Linked DNA regions of Coturnix japonica. The protein of the gene in region 1 purifies or fractionates together with the protein of each later gene. This does not show direct contact. Links are inferred from orthologs where the notes say so. Each region holds a gene or a part of one and is shown in the gene's direction. Other genes may lie near its edges.

The links.
Region 2: the proteins of YAF2 (region 1) and TFDP1 purify together in Homo sapiens (affinity purification with mass spectrometry; 3 studies listed by BioGRID and IntAct, counting the BioPlex papers as one, with this or other methods). This does not show direct contact. The link is inferred for Coturnix japonica from reciprocal best matches to the Homo sapiens genes YAF2 and TFDP1.
Region 3: the proteins of YAF2 (region 1) and BCORL1 purify together in Homo sapiens (affinity purification with mass spectrometry; 5 studies listed by BioGRID and IntAct, counting the BioPlex papers as one, with this or other methods). This does not show direct contact. The link is inferred for Coturnix japonica from reciprocal best matches to the Homo sapiens genes YAF2 and BCORL1.

What each region holds. Positions count from the first base shown.
Region 1 is NC_029516.1:26,706,527-26,710,527, reverse strand, and holds the start of YAF2 (YY1-associated factor 2), read left to right. Parts: upstream 1-1,201; 5' UTR 1,202-1,379; coding exon 1,380-1,405; intron 1,406-1,534; coding exon 1,535-1,660; intron 1,661-4,001. UniProt on the Homo sapiens protein: Binds to MYC and inhibits MYC-mediated transactivation. Also binds to MYCN and enhances MYCN-dependent transcriptional activation. Increases calpain 2-mediated proteolysis of YY1 in vitro.
Region 2 is NC_029516.1:123,726,482-123,730,695, reverse strand, and holds the start of TFDP1 (transcription factor Dp-1), read left to right. Parts: upstream 1-1,414; 5' UTR 1,415-1,530; intron 1,531-1,896; exon of another isoform or gene 1,897-2,024; intron 2,025-2,436; 5' UTR 2,437-2,509; coding exon 2,510-2,521; intron 2,522-4,214. UniProt on the Homo sapiens protein: Can stimulate E2F-dependent transcription.
Region 3 is NC_029519.1:1,564,698-1,568,905, reverse strand, and holds the start of BCORL1 (BCL-6 corepressor-like protein 1), read left to right. Parts: upstream 1-1,408; 5' UTR 1,409-1,425; intron 1,426-1,525; coding exon of another isoform or gene 1,526-2,052; intron 2,053-2,190; coding exon of another isoform or gene 2,191-2,511; intron 2,512-4,208. Other genes in the region: translation initiation factor IF-2-like, read right to left, coding at 997-1,408, 1,526-2,052, 2,191-2,511. UniProt on the Homo sapiens protein: Transcriptional corepressor. May specifically inhibit gene expression when recruited to promoter regions by sequence-specific DNA-binding proteins such as BCL6.

The sequences.
Region 1 (4,001 bases):
AAACTGCAGCCTGTACAAGTGTTAGTACTTAAGCATTAGTACTTTTACATACATGTAGATGTTCCACATAATGGATCTTTCATTGCTTCTACAAGAAGATGTCAAGCCCTTTACCCACGTTTTCCACTCCTTCATCACTTCCCAATATTTCTAGCTGAAATTCTTTACAAACTTTGCCTTCGGAAACGAGAAGTTTCTCTATTATCCACTCGCTAAATTTCTAAAGATGCCCCAACAACTCCAGCTGTGCTTGTTCACACACTCGGGTGAATCACCCCTTGGGGCACGTTTTGTTCTCAAAACCCCGCCGTTCCTACGCAAAGGCGATGCAGCAAAACCAGCTGTGGTCACTGCGATGCTGACCACCTCATTGTCTGCTCGCACTCTGCCATCTACCTGTACCGAACCGCCTTTGTTACACACTCCGGACATGTGCTCTTTGTTCTGTTTGCGCAGCATCCTGCAAAATGGCACCCTGCCCTGTGCCCGGGGCTGCTGCGTGCGGAGATAGCGCAGGTACACGACCGCTGTGCGCCACAGCACACAGCACACAGCAGTGTTTGAAGCGCAGTACTGCACATGGATACAGGCAGCATCGTGGGGCGGACAGGCCGGGTCGCACCGGAGGTTTCTAAGCAGAACCCCACTTAGCGCTCGGTTGGTTCCGCACAGCTCGGCCTGCACGGTATCTTCGGGAGCAGAGCGAAGCAGGATTACCACGGGAAAAGCCCGTTCCTAAGGGCAGAGCTGCACGGGCTGTACAAACACCTCACCTCTCTCTCGGAGGCCGTACCCCGGGCTCAGCCCTTCTGCAGGCGGCCGAGGGCTGCTCTCCACACCGACTGACGGCGGCCCGGCCCCGCACAGCCGCGCTCTGCCCGGCAGCGGCCTCCGCCCCGCGCTGGGCCTCTGCGAGCCGAACGCCGCGGCCCCGTTCCCGTCAGCCGGACAATGGCCGCAGGACGCCCCGCCGCTGCCGGCCCCGGGCACGGCCGCGCCGCCTCCTCTCCCCTGTCGTCTCCTCTCGTCTCCTTTCCCCTCCCCTACGGCCGCCCCCAGCAGCCCCCGCGTTGCCCCGGTCCCGCCGCCTCCCGGCCCGCAGCGCCCGATCCCCGGCGCTCTCCAGCCGCGAACCTGCCGCCGTGCGCGGCCCGCCGGGCTCCGCGGCCTGCGGGCGGCCGCTGGTTGGCGGCGGGGGGACACGTGAGGGAGGAGGGGGCAGCGGCGGCGGCAGGAGTTTCCCCGACAGCTGGAGGTTGCGGCGGTGGCTCCTCCTCCGCGGGTCCCCGTTAGAGGCGAGAGACCCCCGCGCTCCTCCTTATTGACAAATACACAAAGGGCCGCGCCGGGGCCGGGCCGGGGACGCGTGTGGAGGCGGCATGGGAGACAAGAAGAGCCCGACCAGGTAGGGCAGCGCCGCCGCCTTCCCGGGGCCCGCTCGGGTGCGCGGGGCCGGCGGCGATGGCGCCCGGGGGGGGGGCCGGTGTCGGGCGGCGCGCCCCGACCGTGCCCCGCGTGTGCTGTGTCTCCGCAGGCCGAAGCGGCAGCCGAAACCCTCCTCGGACGAGGGCTACTGGGACTGCAGCGTCTGCACCTTCCGCAACAGCGCCGAGGCCTTCAAGTGCATGATGTGCGACGTGAGAAAGGGCACCTCCACACGGTGAGTCCCCGCCGGCGGCCCCCGGTTCGCGAGGCGGCGGCCCTGACGGTAGCGGGGCCGCGTTCGGCGGGGGGGGGAACCGGGCCGGGCCGGGGGGTTCCCTCCCCACAGCGATCCGTGCACCAGCGGCGTCCCACGAGGAGCTGCTCTATGCCAGCCGTCAGAAGGTGCACGGTGACCTACCTGCTCCCTGCCCCTCCTGACACCGGGCCAGCGGGGGCTTCACACGGCCAGCGGGAGTGCTGGCCGGGGAGAGCATTATTAAAGGATCCTTTGTTAGTGTATGGAGCTTATGGCTTAATGCTGTCAGCCGGAGAAGTTTGAGTGGCAATAAAAGTTGCGATCCTATGATGAGCAGCAATTGCGTTTTAGATAGCATTCATAACAGCGCTGAATGTGACTCGCAGCAAACGTTACACATTTGTAAGTGCAGATGCGTGGTGAGAATGATGCGTCTCTATTTCTGAAGTTGATTTCCTGGAGTTCTGCGAACTGGAGCATGTGTCGGAAGTGCTCATAACTTCAGCTTCGAATATGTATATGTGTATATCATAAATAAGGCAATCAGTGAGGTAAATGTGCCGAGAGGAATTGCATCTGTCACATACAGCGTGCTTTCCAGCGATAAGTGTGGCGTTCTGTTGTATCGCAGGTAGATGTGCTCCAGCTGGTCACGTTCAGCAAAATAAAGGGATGATTGTAAGTTTGGGAAGGCAGCACGGCTGGAGGCTGCAGCCATCCTCAGCCTCCGGCCAGTCTGATAGACAAAGTGACTTCAGATTCCACTGATCCTGAAACTCAGTTGATGAAAGCACTAAGACGAAACAAACAATCAAGCAGGTCCTGAGATACCTGTGTCACCATTGCTTTTTTCCCCCTCCTTCTTGAATACTTTATAGGTTTTGGACTGTGACATAAATTGAACGTATTTTAGGAACGATTATTTTTTCTTTCCTCTTTCTCCCTCACAGCGTTGTGATATGCAGAGTTTTAGCTGATACCGTCATTTTTATTTCTCTGCTTAAACTCTGAAGTGATGGGGTTTGTGGATGTCATTTTCCCATTCAGTTTAAATGGGTCATGTTTTCATGTAGGTGCAAAGTCTGGGGTTATCAGATAGATGTTGGGGGGTGGGGTGGGCTCGAATGGGCAGTTTTAGGTCCAGCTCTGAGCTGAGATGTGAGCTGGTGAGTAGACCTTTGTATCTATGGAGAGAAGAATCCTTAGGGTGCCAAGGAGACACAAAAGGCTGTTTGGGTGGATTGATTGATTGATTGATTTAAAGGAAATGAAGTCCAAGGCACCAAATTGGGGCCCTATTAAACCATTTAGTCGTACCACCCTTAGAATTAGACATTTTTGTTGGCGTTGTTCACAGTCACAATACCGTGCAGTTCTGATGGCACTGGGAATGTTGGGGGATTTTTTTGTCTTCCATTTTGAATCTTAATGTTTGTATGTATGAAGCCGATGCCTCAGCACAGTTCTTAAGTGTGCATTGGTTCTTACTTCCAAATTCCTGCTTTTTTCTTCTTTAAATCAATGAAATCTATGTCTACTAGACATAGTAGCCCCTATGTGATGTAAGCAGTGATGTAAAGCACCTTTTTTTAGTTCAGAGAAATCTGTTTCTTTGTGATGAACTGTTTGATGTCTGCTTCTGAGTGTTAAAATTCTCTAAATGTGAACAGATTTGCAGATAGAGAACCAGGCAATCACAGTCAAGTGAAATGCTTTTGAAGGCCACTGCAAATTAGGTTAAGTTGATTGTAACTCGCGTGTTTTTATGCTAATTGTGTACAATTAATTTCACAGAATCTTACTCAGGTGCAAATTTAGAGTCAGATTTATGTGTGTTTTTACTGTTGAACCATTTTCCTCTCTCCAGAAGAATAACCTTTGATGCTAAGGGCAACATATGGATTATGAACTTTAAAACTGGTGGCGTTGTTAAGGGTAGTGGGAATAATTCTTACGACTCCTCAGTCATATTTTATTATACTTCTGGAGGGAGCTCTCAGTCATGGACTTGAATTAACTTGTTCCATGGTAGTGTCACCGTGGATGATTAAACCAGGTTGTTCTTGGACAGGAGACATCCAAGAGAAATCCTGGATGCAGCAAGAAGGGACATAACAGACTCCCAAGGTGGCACTGTTTTCTTTGGGTTTATAATGAACCAGTGCCCAGCATGGAGCCAGTTAGATGTGCTGTGAGTCAGGTGGGAAGCTGACATCCCATCTGCCGGTTGGAAATCCCTGTGTGTTTTGCTGTTTGCTCGACTGAAGACCTAAATTTTCCTGTAGACATGGCTTTCTTATTTACTTTCTAGACTAAATTG
Region 2 (4,214 bases), about 97 Mb from region 1:
ATGCAGCCCACCCTGCCCTGAAGGAAACAACAGGCAGAAGATAAAGATACAGGCCTACCAGCTTCACGGAGCAGGAAGCGTGTTTCTTTGGATCTCCCACAGACTCCATTGAGTAATTACTACTGCCAGTGGGGAGAGGCTTCTTGATGGTAGGGACGGTGAGCCACCAAGAGAGACTAAGAAATCCCAATTTCTGCAGATAAAGGACAAACTGGACAATCAAGTGACCGGAGTGCCTATGGACAGCTGATCCTGCCTTGGGGGATACAACCTACATCAGGGAATGGCAAAACTCTTAGGGTTACAGTGGCAAGCTGTATTTTTATTTCTTAAAATAGAGCAGAAATTTGAGAATTGGGAGATAGTTCCACCCAAGGAGGCCAAATGCTGACAAGCTTATCAGCTGGTATGAGGGCTGTATTTAAGGAGCTCTCACAGGTCCCTCTCTTAAGATGGCTTGGCTTCAATTTCCAACAATCAGAATGGGTCCCTGTGCACGTTCTCTGGCAGGTTTCTGATTGCAGGTTAGTTAAAACACGTTCTCCTCATATCTGTGTCCGCTGTGGAGTCGCAGCAAACTGACGTTTGGAGTTGTAATCTGTTCTCATTCTGAAACGTGCTCAATTCTTGTTTGCAGAGAAGCTGCTGCTACCATGTCCCACAAGGAAGGAAGGATGGGGAGATGGGGCCATGGCGGCTATCAGTGCAGGGCAATGCGTGGCCGTGGTACCCACAGCAATGAGTGGGGCAGACACAGAGGAGGAAGTTTTTCACACAGAGGGTTGTGACGCACTGGAACAGGTGGTTGTGGATGCCCCATCCCTGGAGGGCTGGCTGGATGTGGCTCTGGGCAGCCTGGTCTGGTGGTTGGTGACCCTGCACATAGCAGGGGGGTTGAAACCAGATGATCATTGTGGTCCTTTTCAACCCAGGCCATTCTATGGCTCTATGATTCTACCATCCAGTCCAACTATGAGCCCATGCCTGCTGACCACATCTCTCAGTGCCACATCCACACAGCTCCTCAACACCGCGTACCCCGGTGGCGCAGTGGTAGGAATGCCGCGTTGCAACACCAAAGGCGCTGGGTTCGAATCCCCCTGTGGCGCAAGTGGTAGAAGTGCCGCTCTGCTACACAGAGACTCGAATCCCGGGGGTTCGACTCGATGATCTCTAAGGTCCCTTCCAACCCGCACCAGACTGTGATACTGTGATGATGATGACACCTCCAGGGACGATGCCTCCATGGCTGCCGTGCTCCCCAGCTGTGCCCATCCCCACCCGCCATGTGCCGGTCACCGCACTGATGGCCGCACACCACGTGCCCGCCCGAACATCAACCTGGCGCCGCCGCTTCCCGCCGCCAGCGTTGCAGGGCGGGGAGTCGGAAAGCGCGAAAATCCCGCGCATGCTCCCTCCGCCCCCGCCGTGCCGGCCGGTTGGCTGCTGCGCTCCGCGTGTGCCCGTGCAAGGCACGCTACACCCCGTGACGTCAGCGCGCAGCGTCACGCCGGTGGGACGCACAAAAGTGTAAGTTTCAATTTTTTTTTTTCGGGCTCCCCCTCATTCCCCGGTTCACCGGCGCTGTCCCCCCCCCCAAATCCCCACGGGGAATAGAACGAAAGGGAAGAGAGAGAAAGCGGACGGTGGGATCGCGGGCAGGGACAGCCGCTTTAGTTCACCCCCCCCCCCCCCCCCCTTTCCCCGCTGCCGCCCCCCGTGCAGGTGTGCTCTGGCCGCACGGTGACAGCCCGCACGCCGCCCCCCCACACCCCGCCGTGCCGGCACGGAGCGCGTCCAGCCGCCCCCCCCCATATATACACACACATTGCGGCCGTTGGGCGCCCGCTCCCTCCCTCCGCCCCTGCCCCCTCCCGCCGGGCTCGCGGGCCCGCGCGCGCCGCCCGCCCGCCGCACATGTGCAGTCGGGCGCCTCCGCAGCGGCAGCTCGGCGCCGGGACACGGGCTGGGGGGACAGCGGCGGCGGGGGATGGAGCCGGCGATCTCCGCATTGGGCCGCTCAGGTGCGAGCGGCTGCGGCCCCAGGATACGGAGGGAAGGATGGGAGGCGCCCGCGGAGCCGCCATCGGCGTGGCCACCCGCCGCTGAGCGGAGGCCCCGGCGGCTGCGGTCTCCGGCTGCGGGCGGGAAGGGAGGGGGGCGGCCCAGAGGCCTGCGTGTGCCCGCCGACGGGATGGGGCCCGCCCGAGCGTGCCGTGCAACCCCCACCACAAGCCGTGAGGGTGGGCGGCGGGGCGTCGCTCCCACGTGCTGGCTGTGAGCGGGGGCGTCGCTTCGATAGAACGGGGCATGGGGGGGAACTTTGCGCTCTCCCATAGGGTTCTGTTCTGAAGCACAACGGGAATCGGGGCGGTGCAAAGTTTGCCTCGTCTCATTGTGGAGAGCTGACTGATGGTGGTTGTGTTTGCTTTCTAGAGAATAGCATCGTCGTCCCAGCGTCCCGCAGGCAGCAGGATTGTAAGAGGATTGCCTGCTAGGCTGGGGTAACATGGCAAAAGATGTAAGTATATTTATAGCGCATCACATGCAGGGGCATAGCTAATAGCATATTTTTGCTTTTGTTTTTGCTAACGGAAGCAAAGCAGGTCAGGCTCTGGTATAGCTGGCAGTGCAAACGTGTGAACCTGACTGTGCTGTACCCCAGGCCTGGGCTGTGCTTCACTATATGGATGGTCCGACCCCAAACCAGCTTCAGGTCTGCAGCAGGTTCCTCAAAGTAGCCCTTGGAATCTACTGTCGTCATAAAAGCTCTCTGGTCATTGGCATTAGATGTGTTCACATTGAACACCACCCCAGGTTGGCTTTGACGTGGGTTCAGAAAGCCCTAGAATACACCGTTCAGATGCTGGGGTGGTTGGTGGCTCTGTCCTGTTATCTCCAGAAGTCACCAGCTGAGTGTCACTGCTGGCTGGTGCTGCCTCTGCTGCTTGGTGTGTTCGGGGTAGCAAAGCCTCCTTATCTCCTCACTCTTTCTTCCCTGTCCATTCAAAGATGCTGATTACTGCTTGTAAAAGCAAGCATTGGGAGCTTGCAGCATACACTTCCACTGCCATCCTTGCCATGACTGGTGGCCTTGAGGCAGGCCTCAGAAACACCTTTGCTCTTATCCATTCCAGTATTCTTTTAAGAACCATTTGAACAGGTTCCGCCTTTCAGATCTATTTCATTGCTTGTAGCTAATGTAATTGGACTGCCACGGTTCTATATTGAGAAGGAGAGAATGGAGAGCTCTGTATTCAAACTTGAATGCATCTCCCCCCCACCCCCCCCAAAAAGGACAACAAAATAGCAAACAAGTCACAAAGCAATTCCAGTTCTAAACAGCAGGTTACGTTATTGTGTGAACTGTTGTAGCTTTCGGAGAGTGAGAATTACTGTGAAATAGTGATTGGTTTAACAAATTAATCTTGTAGGGAATTTTAGGAGTTCAGAAGCATATGGAAAGTATCTCGGTGTGCAGAAACGCAACCAGAAATACGTAGTCACTGCACGCTCGCCTGTAAAAGATAAGGGCGTTCAAGTGCGCTACAGATAGCAGAGTTCAGGGAATGAAGGGCTGTACGAGCAGGGAAAAAAATGGAAGAGGAGGGGTGGAAGAGGAGGTGAAATAAGCGGCAGCTCAGAGTAATTCATATGTTAGGATACATCCATTTCGTACTGCCATTTGGAAGGAGATGGGCTGAGTGAAGGACTGGCACCTGGAAGTTAGATCGGTGTCGTATAATGTGTGTGGGGACATAATGGGGGTAAGGCATCTAAGAAAGAACCTAATTGGAGAGATCCATTTTGCTGTAGGAGGGGAGTAGTTAAGGGAGGAATAACATGCGCAACAACAAACTTCAGAAATGGAAGAAGATGCTACAGGTGGGAACGAATAGGTGTTTTCAGTGTCTTCTAAGAGCAGATCAAGAAGTAATAAACTGAATTTGGAGGAGCAGTAATCCGGCTCAGGTTGTAGGTGACATGTTAAGCATGCTTGAACACTGGGACAGGGTAGGGAGAAAGTGTATGAGGTCTTAACTGAAGAACTGTGTAACCCGTTTTCAGAAGCCTTTGCATATATGTAAAATCCTGTTTGAGGGAAGAAAGATGAACCGCATTAATGGCCCGCGGTTCTGCTGTGTCACCTATCGAGCGCTCTAACGGTCTGCAAGATGTGGTGAATAACATGGCATAGTTGATGAATGCCCCCA
Region 3 (4,208 bases), on another chromosome or scaffold:
ATGCGGAAGAGCCGCGGAATTTTTCAGCAGCGCCGAGCTCCCGGGTGTCGATTCTCCCAGCCCGGAGATACCGAAGCGTGGGCCAATTCCAGCGCCAGGCAGCGGGAGCAGAGCTCTGCTGGGGGCCGCCCCACGCACCCCGAGCGCTGCGGGACGGAGAGCCGCAAACCGCGACGGCGTTAACGGCACCGCCACGCAAATAGGGCAGCGCTTCGGGAGCGCGGGGGCAGCTCCGGCCTCCCAACCTGGAGTCCCGGCTCCGTTCGGCCGCAGCGCACGGGGCCGCGCACGGCCCGGAGGCGGCGGGGTGTTGCGGTGCGGGGCAGAACCCGCGTCATCCCACCCCGCGGGAGCAGTTCCCTCCCTCCGGGCCTTCTCGGGCTCAGTGCCCTCCCGAGTAGCAGAGCGCAGCCCCGAGGCCTCGGCCGCCCTCCTCCTCCTCTCTCGGTCCTCGCACACCGCGAGGCGCTCCGCACCGCCCCGCCGCCGCCGTCCTTTCCGCCGTTCTCCCGCACGGCGCTGCCGCGGGGCCGGGGAACAGCGGGGACCTCCGCGGGGCGAACCCCGGGTGGGGCGGGGGGCGACACCCGAGCGCCATGTCCGCCGCCGCCCCGGGGCCGCGCTGCCCGAGCCCACGTCGTCCCGGCGGGGCGGGGCGGGGCGGGGCCGCTCGGACACTCCACGCCCGTTCCGCCGCGGGGCTGCGGGCGGCGGAGGTGCGCGGTGCGGAGCGGAGCGGAGCGGTGCGGGTTCCGCGCTCGCCGTGTGCCCGTCCAGCACTGCCCGCTGTGCAGCTCCCGGCCTCCGCCCGCTCCTCCTCCTCCTCCTCCTCCCTCCCCGCACCCACCCCCCGCTCCCTCCCCCTGCGGGTGCGGGCACCGGTGCCCCGGCTCGGTGCGGGTGTGCGGTGCGCGCTGTGCGTGCGCTTCCCCCGCGCCTCCACCCGCCCGTGGGTGCGGAGCGGCCCCTCCCAGCCGGGGAGTGACCCCCCCCCCCTCAGCCCCCCCCGATCTCCGTCCCTCCTCCCGCTCCCTCCTCCCCCCTCGTGCCGTGCCGTGCTCGTTCCCCCTCCTCCCGGCTCGCTCCCTCCCGCCGCCCGTTCCCTCTCTCCGGACTCGGCCGGCTCCGCACAGCGCCCCCCCCCCCATCGCGGGCAGGGCGGGCGCGGGGCACGCCGGGAGCTGCAGTCCGCGGGGCGGCGCGGCGGGCGGCGGGGCGCGGCGGGCGGACTACGGCTCCCGTCATCCCCCGCGGCGGCGGCGGCTCGCTCTCGCCCTCACACTCCGGCTGCCGCTGCCAGTGTCTCCGCCGCCGCCGAACCGCCGCTCGCCGCGCCGCGGTCCGATCCGCCGCCCGCTCCGGGCAGGGGCCCGCCTCGCCCCGCCGCGCTCCCCGCTCCGCCGTCCGCCTCGTCGAGGGAAACAGGTGCGCGCCCGGCCACACAACCGCCCCCCCCCCCCCCCCTTCCCCTCCTCCGTCTCTCCGGCTCCGCCGCCCCGCTCCGGACGCCCGGCCCCGCTCTCACGGGTAACCCCGGGCCCGGTCGCTCCGCACCCACCGCCGGGGCCGGGCGGACGGCGGCGAGCGGACGGCCCCGAGCGGCCCTCGGACGGGGGTCTCCATGGAAAACCGGTCCCGGGACGGCGGGCGGTGGGGGGGGGTACCGGCCTGGGGGGGGGCGGTGCGGGGGGGAGGCGGCGTCCCGCTCGGACGGCGGGCGGGGGCGGCGCGCGGTGACAGCGGCGGTGCCGGTGCCGCTCCGTTCCGTGTGCCCCGCGACGGCGCCGCGTGCCGCTGCCCGACCCCGCGCGGAGGCTCCGGCACCGACACCGACACCGGCACCGGCGGCACCTGCCGCTGCCGGGGGGTCCCGGGGCCGAGCGGGGCGGGGCGCGGCGCTCGCGGTGCGGTGCGGTCGGTGGCGGTGGGACGGCGGCCGCTCCGCGCGGAGTTTGGCGGCGTGGCCCGCGCCCGCCGCGGAGGAAAGTCCCGGTGTCGGCCCCGCTCGGTGGCGGAAGGGCCCTCCCCGGGGACAGCGCCCCACGTCCGGGGCTGCCCCGCGGAACAACTGTTGAACGGCGGCGGGGTCTGGGCCGAGGGGTGCCCGGGCGGACCCCCCCTCCCTCCCTGCTCCCCCCCAGCAGCGGGGCGGTGCGGGGCGGTGCGGGGTGGGGCGGGTGGGGGCCGAGCCTCGGCGCTGCCCCCGCTGCGGCCCCGCGGCTCCGGGCGGGAGGGGCCGTGCCCGAGGTGCGCGGCGGCGGCGGGACCGGAGCGGCGCTTCCTGCCGGGAGGGCTGCGCGGAGCTCCGGCGCCGTGTGTGCGGCCGGCATCCCGAGCGCCGCTCGGAGGGCTCTCCCCGCCTTCCTCGCCCGAGCGCAGCCCTCGGGGAAGGGCACCACCGTTCGTGCTCCCTCCGAGCATCCGCTCCCAACGAGCGCCGTTCTCGGCGGGGACACGGCCGGGACGTCGCCCCGCGCGGCCCCCGAGCGCCGCCATCCCCGCGTCCCGCATCGCTGTCACCGCGTCGGCTCTCCCCGAGGCCGCGGCTCCGCGCTGCAGGGCCGGGCTGCTCCCCGCTCTCCGCGCCGTGCACAACGTGGGCCTGTTAACGTCTCTTTGCAGATATCCCCCACCCCCTTCGTGCCGTTTTCTCTCCCCGTCCCTTTAAAGACCCGCTCCTGCCGCGGGTGCGGCGCGATGCTCGCTGTTGTCCGTGTCTTGCAGGAACCGACGTGCAGCAAACTTTATTTTTATTCCACCCGAGGATGGATTTTCTCTTTTTCCTCTCTTTATTTTTTATTTTTTTTCCCCCTTTTCCTTCCCAATTCATCGCGCCGAGTATCTATAATTACTCGCGGTGCTGCTGTGTCTTTAAAGCAGCTTAAGCAAATGCGTTGGGCAAAGCCTGGCTCAGCACCGCAGCGCTCCGGGGCTCCACGCAGCCCCGGGGGGATCCCAAACACGGCGGGGTCGGGGCTGCACTCAGTACTTTGTGCCCACCGAGCCGGGTTGGGGCCGATCCCTGCTGGCTGCTGGTGCCACGCTGCTGCTGCTGCAATTTGTTGCTTTTCTCACCTATTTTTTTTCCCCTGGATGCCCCACGTAGAGATGACCGTCACGATTGGTTTTACTTTTAACATTCTTTTTGCACGCAGTCCTCTGGAAAGGGTTTTTTTTCTGAGCTCCTGCTCAGGGCTGAATCCCCTCTGGGGTGTCGGGGGCAGCTTTGGCTCCGGACCTCTGCACCTCAAATGGATGCCTGACGATCGCAGCTAAAAACAAATACAATTTCTCGCCCCTGTTTCTAATGGCAACGAAGATTGCCAAAGTGAACAAACTCTCCGGAGTGAGTGAGGCCATCCCTGTGGATGCACATCGCTTCCTCCCGGCCCTTCCGTGCCCCACCGAGGGGCAGCCCCTCTGCTCTGGCTCTCATTGGCGGCAGCAGCTCGCGGTGAGCGCAGCGCAGGCAGCGAGTCCCGCCTGGGTTCCCCCCATCCAGGACTGCTTTACGTTTTTGAGTCATCGGGGTGGCAAAAAGTAGCATTTTGCTCCTCTCCCGGATCGTGTTCCAAAGGTGTCTCCCTGGGTGTGTTTCCAGGGTCAAAGTGCATCCTGCCGGCCGCCCACAGTGCCCCCTGGCCAGCCGTGCCGCGCAGCGCTCCCGGTACCAGCAGCTGCGTCCTCCTGCTCTCGTGCTGCAGAGGGATGTGCCGGACTCGTGCAGCGCGCTCAGATGGGAAAAGCTCTTTCCCTTTTCTCTTTTCCCTCTTCCCTTCCCTCCCTCCGTGCTGCTGTCCCAGTTATGCAGCGTTTCACTGTGCTCGGCCCCCATCTGGCTGCATCCCTTTGTCTGCGTCGCACCAACTTTGAACTGCCGCAACCCAAAGCTCAGCGCGGGGCTCTGCGGGGCTGCTGCTCACCCGGGGGAGCTCTCTGCAATTCACAGCCCCGCTGCTGTCAGTGCCGTGCATCGCGGCTCGCCGGGGCTTTGCTTGATGGTGCTGTGCAGCTCTCATCCCTGCCCAGAGCTCGGCTTGGGGGTTGCTGAAGTGTGTTGGTGCCCGTCGGCTCCTGCCTGGCTGATGGAGGGTGGTGGTGTTGGGTGGGTGAGTGGCCTGTGCTGCATTGGTAGGGATAGGGAGAGGGAAGGTGAGCGTCTCAAAACCTGAGCCATTTTAGGATGGAGCTTGTTGGGGGTTTGAAGC